Linked DNA regions of Kluyveromyces lactis. The protein of the gene in region 1 purifies or fractionates together with the protein of each later gene. This does not show direct contact. Links are inferred from orthologs where the notes say so. Each region holds a gene or a part of one and is shown on either strand. Other genes may lie near its edges. The genes, in order: QCR6 and QCR2.

The links.
Region 2: the proteins of QCR6 (region 1) and QCR2 purify together in Saccharomyces cerevisiae (affinity purification with western blotting; 3 studies listed by BioGRID, with this or other methods). This does not show direct contact. The link is inferred for Kluyveromyces lactis from reciprocal best matches to the Saccharomyces cerevisiae genes QCR6 and QCR2.

The regions. Positions count from the first base shown.
Region 1 is NC_006040.1:1,355,404-1,358,055, forward strand, and holds QCR6 (ubiquinol--cytochrome-c reductase subunit 6), read right to left. Parts: upstream 1,022-2,652; coding exon 653-1,021; downstream 1-652. Other genes in the region: phosphate-sensing transcription factor PHO4, read right to left, coding at 2,101-2,652. UniProt on the Saccharomyces cerevisiae protein: Component of the ubiquinol-cytochrome c oxidoreductase, a multisubunit transmembrane complex that is part of the mitochondrial electron transport chain which drives oxidative phosphorylation.
Region 2 is NC_006038.1:323,147-326,280, forward strand, and holds QCR2 (ubiquinol--cytochrome-c reductase subunit 2), read left to right. Parts: upstream 1-1,389; coding exon 1,390-2,472; downstream 2,473-3,134. Other genes in the region: RPC82 (DNA-directed RNA polymerase III subunit C82), read right to left, coding at 1-503. UniProt on the Saccharomyces cerevisiae protein: Component of the ubiquinol-cytochrome c oxidoreductase, a multisubunit transmembrane complex that is part of the mitochondrial electron transport chain which drives oxidative phosphorylation.

The DNA.
Region 1 (2,652 bases):
GGTTTTAGGTACAGATGAAATAAATAAACATGACTAAGACTTGGAAACAATTAACATATCTTGATCCCAATTTTTTATTGAAAGGAAAGGGTCAGTAAAATGATACCATATTACTCCTCTCTTTCCTTCTATTTGCAATGCCATGGGTGTTGAGAAAGGTTATTTTCTTAATTCTTTTGAGAAAAAAGAGGAAGAAAACCGAATCTAGTAGTAATAATAATAATAATAATAATAAAATAATGGTAGTGGAGTAGTCTCTTCTTCTGAATTTTTTTGGTACAGTTCTTCAAATTGATTCCAGATACCCTTCGATCTGTGATTCCTTCACTTTTTTGTTTCTTATTTTTAAATTTTAAGTTTATTGTGTTTCTAAGTCAATAATTCATAATAGTATGGGATGGATTGTGTGGTTGTTTGGAATTGAAAAGAAAACTCTACTTATTTCCTCAAATTGCAAGGGGGAACCTTAGGTGATTACGATAAGCTGAAACATCTTTTTCGCTTTTAAATTCTTTTAGAGATTGAATGTTGAAATATGTGTTAAGTATAACGGTTGATTTTTTGAACAGGACTGAAATAAAGGTTAGAAAAAAGTAGAATATGAACTCTCCTTTTCCATTTGCATTTATATTGATGAAATGGGATATCTCTTTTATTTCAAGTAATCGAACAGTTTTGGAGCAGCGCATTCATCCACGAAATGTGCCAAGTGGAAGAATTCTTCCACACAGTCCTCCTTGTATGCCAAATCTTCATAGCCTGGTTCTTCTTGTGCCTTTTGAACTCTTTCGACACATTCCAGATAATGATGAACCAAGTGCTTACCTTCTTCGGTAGATTTACATTCTTCTCTCAAAGCATCTAATTGATCACCTTGTTCTTCTTCTTCATCTTCATCGTCTTCATCTTCGTCATCTTCTTCCTCTTCTTCATCTTCTTCAACGTCGTCTTCAGCCTTGGCCACAGTTGGCACGAAAGCATCCTTTAATTCTTCCAAGTAAGCAGTAATAGAGGAAATCATTCTGTTCTCTTATAATATGTGTGTGTATGTTAATTTAAAATTGATAGTTTCAAAAAGGACAGGGAAATTCTAGTATCGAGTAAAATCAAAATACAACGAATAAATATGAATAAAGCCCAAAGTTTGTGAATGTATTGGTTGTATTATTGTTCTTATGAATATTTTATTCTGTGTATATCAAACAAAATAAAATAAAATAAAATCAAAACTGGATGTAATAGAATAAAACCAAATACCCGACGTATTAGTTACTTGATACCGTATTGAACCGAAAAGAAAACTTATAAAACCTAGTTAAACAACTTATGAATTGGAGCTAACCTAACAAAAATATGATATAACCGAAGTAATGTGAACTGAATATTATATCGATTGATTGATAGATATATTATAATTAAAATCGAAATATGAAATTTTTCATACTTTAAACTAAAAAAAAAAATATCGAAGGTCAAAAAAAAAAATTACGCAGAAATCAACGTATCAATGTGGAAGCATATAACGGAAACTCTACATATAGATAACCGATAAAATTCAAGGTTTAAACTGCACACGAATTAAGAGAGCTTGGATAGGGTTTGATTCTGAGCGGTTTTGGTGCTTGTTTGGCACCTTAGTCAATTGCTGGAGTCGCAGGAACGGACTATTTCCCTGCCCAAATTGGCCGGCCAATGAAATAATCGATGCTGGAAATGTTTATGTTATCCAGCCTTTGTACTGCCGTTTCAGTTGCGACATTGTATCGGTCATCACATTGTACGACGAATAAACAGGCTCTTTCCTCTTGAAATCTTACTTGTTGAGAGAACCAACAGCCGCTGTGGGCATAGGGGAGCCGCTAGAGGCTCCCGCACTGAGTCTGGCTTTTTTCGGAAGGAATAGCTATTAAAGGCGATCTGTGTCACACACGACGGTAGATTGTGATTGGTTCGTCGATAGTGATGGATGACATTTTATTTGCACGTGATACATAATTATCTATGATGTAAAGCAACTGAAAATATCATATCACGTGGTTTAAGGGTAAGAAACACTATAGATACATTTATACAGGCACAGAGAGAGAAAGATGTCTGTACTCACTGGTTGGAGTTTGCCTTCAACAATTGACGGATATACTGGGCAGCCAGCTCGACTGTGGTAGCTTTGGATGGGATTGCCGCCACGTCTTTGAGTTCCTTTGGAATCAAGGACTCAAGATCCTTCAATGCATTGTTCAATCTGTTTCTTCTTCCTTGTTCTGCTACTTTATGCACTTGCTTTTGCTTCTTTACCACGTCGTCATCATCATCGTCTTCTTCGTCACGTTCGTTTTCACGGTCAGCGTCAGCGTCATTTTCGTCATCCTCACTAGAGGATTTAGGTTTCTGAGAAGATCGATTTGATCCTCTTAATGAGGTTCGTCTTCCAGGCACGGATCTTGTTCTGCCGTTACTCTTCACAGAGGAATTTGAACTTGAAGCTGATGGTGCAGTAAGAGCTGGTGCAGTTGTTGCAGTGGTACCTGATGTAGATGTTGTAGAATTAGAATTAGCATTAATCGTGGGTGAAGTTGTTGTAGAACCATTATTTTTCTTTAGTTTCGTATTAGAACCGTTACTCGATGAGTTTGTATTGTTGAAACCTTGTTT
Region 2 (3,134 bases), on another chromosome or scaffold:
AGAACGTTATGAATAATTTGTTGTGCGATGTTGACCAAGTGTTGCTCCTCATCCTGGTTGAAATATTGAACAATTCTGTCGCTGATGTCACCCGCATATAACATAAGGAACAAACCTTCTTCGTTAAAGTAGTAATAAAGGGTCTTACGACCAGAGAGTGAGGTTTCTTCCAAATATTGTACGCATCTTAATTGAATCAAACTGACCAAAACGGTTTTAATACTGGACAACGAAAGTTCTGGTATGAAAGAATGAATTTCTCTCGTGGAGAGTCTTCCTTTGTTGACCAACACGGATAGAACAGTACTGGCTCTTTCACCAAGATGGGATCTGGCAAGTTCAGAGTATAAAAACGAATCTGGGTTAAGAGTTCTCTGCTCTAATGAAGAGATATCGATTGGTTCTGGTGATGTGGATGTGGATGGTTCTGCGGCTGATACAACACTTGCACCACCATTTGGAACAGCCGCATCGGGGATCAGGGCAGCTTGGGCAGCACTCATGTCAGTGCTTGCAATAACAATTGTTTATTTTCCTACCTTTTCTACAGTCGAGCCACCTTGTTGCAGTAGTCATGCATGTATGCGATGAGATGAGATGAGATCAATTCAATTGATAGATTTTTTTTTTCTTTCAATACGAATGGATGGGTCTTTCAAGAAGATCGAAAGAAACAGGCAACATTATTGTAAGTCACGTGGTCACAACCACGTGACTTTTGTGTTTCTGTGTCACGTGACATCTCATCACTCACGAACCAATCATTTCTAAGAACCGTGTCCAACCATTTTTTCTTCAAATGGTTTACCAATACCCTTTCACAGTGCATTACGCGATTCCTGTCTGTTCCCTCTCACTCCCAGTACGTTCCGCTAAAACCCGATATCCCCTTCTTACTGTGACTCCAAGATGGTCTAAGCACGCTTCTCCTTTCTACAGAATCAGCTCGCTTCTTCTCTGATTCCTCTGTAGAGATCAGTCTTCACATCTCGAAATATCTTTTTTTTTTCAATTTTTTTTTTTTTTGTTAGTTATTGGATTTTATCGCATATAGCTTTATTCAATAGGTTCTTGAAAAATTTATAACAAAATATGACAATTCTACTTCAAAGTTTAGAGCTTTTTGTTTGAAGATTGGTTTTGATTACAGGTTTTGTAAAGATTTGTGATTGATATACTATTTTGATTACTTTGTTTTACTCGTTACTCTGTCAGTGTACTTTTTTTGCTCTGTTTCGATACTTATTTTGTGTGTGAGTAAATATTATTTGAGTTTGGACATTAAAGGAAAAGTAGAGGAAGACCTTTTGATTAACGCATAATTGATATTGATATTGATTGATATTCTGACTCCCAAAATTAAAAAGCCCATAAACATATAATATAAAGATGTTGTCCAGTAGATTACAATTTGCCCAGCAAACTGCTAGAAAATTCAGTATTTCCGCTAAAGACGGTTCCGGTAAACTATCCACTTTGGCTGTTAAGGTTCACGGTGGTTCTCGTTACGCCGACAAAGAAGGTATTGCCCACCTTTTGTCCAGATTCAACTTCCATAACACCGGTAACAAGTCTGCTTTGAGATTGGTTAGAGAAAGTGAATTGTTGGGTGGTAAGTTCGAATCCAGTGTTGACAGAGAATACATCACTTTGAAGGCTACTTTCTTGAAGGAAGATCTTCCATACTTCGTTAACGCTTTGGGTAACGTTTTGTACAAGACCAGTTTCAGACCCCACGAATTACCAGAATCTGTCTTGCCAGCTGCTAAGTACGACATTTCCGTTTCTGAAACTAACCCAATCAACAAGGCCGAAGACTTACTTTACAATGTCTCTTTCAGAAAGGACTTAGGTAACACAGTTCTATACAGAGGTGTCGAGAAGGTCACCTTGGATGATATCAAGGCTTATGCCAACAAGGTCTACACCAAGGAAAACATTGAAATTGTTGGTCAAGGTGTCAACGAAGCTGACTTGAAGAGATTTGTCAACGACTCTTTGATTGGTTCTTTACCAACTGGCTCCAAGTTGGCTGCTCAAGCTCAACCAAAGTTCTTCTCCGGTGAAGCCAGATTAAGTGCTCCAGGTGCCTCCGTTGCCGCTATCGCTGTTCCAGTTACTAAGGAACAGTTCGCTACCTACGAAGTCTTGGCTAAGTACCTAACCTCTGCTTTGTCCGAATTGTCTCCATTAATTGACTCAGCTAAGTTAGACAAGTACGCTAATGCCGGCTTGTTCTCTTTATACGTCAAGGGTGAGGATGCTTCTGTCGTTGCTGAAAACATAAAGAAGGTCGTTGATACCTTGAAGAAGGATGTCGACATTTCAGCTGCTAAGGAATACACTGCCTTGCAATTATCTTTGGAAAACGCTCCAATCGATGTCTCTAATGTCAAGAATGTCAAGTTGGACAAATTCTCTTACGCCGCTGTAGGTAACGTCGCTAAGCTACCTTTCGCTGATGAATTGTAAATTTCATCACAGTTAAAAATAACTCACAGATTTTAACCTTTCTCCTACTAGCCAAAGTTACACACATAGTACTTTAAAACTGAAAAAAAAACAACAAACAAACACACATATTCATGAGAGATGACAGAATCACATCACTGAAATGTTTAGAAACGATATTACATTTCTATTGTACATATTTTTTATTATCTTTTACCTTTCGTGGCTTTTGGAAACATTGCAACCTAAAAGAAACCAATAAAATTCAAAAACAAAACTCTCTAAGATTCAAAAGAACACCTTTAACCTTTGGAAAAACTGGTGATGTTAAAAGAGAACCCGTCAATATCTTAATCTTTTGAAATGTGCAGAAGCCACTGATCAAATTCAACAGTTCTGTTGATTCATACAATCCCCATCACTGCTCTTAAGAAAAACAATCAAACAGAGGTTGTGGTGATATTGCAAGAACGTTGGTTTAATACGTAGTGTGTCTTCTTGCCGAACCTATTTTTATTTTCACATATCATCTTAGAAACTTATCACTTATTTATTGAAGTATATATCTCTGAACAAATATCAGTTAACATATTATTGAGAACTAGCAAGTGGAAAGAATATCATAGATTACAGACAGAATAAAAAATAATAAATGATACATTTGGATAATTACTACAATTGAC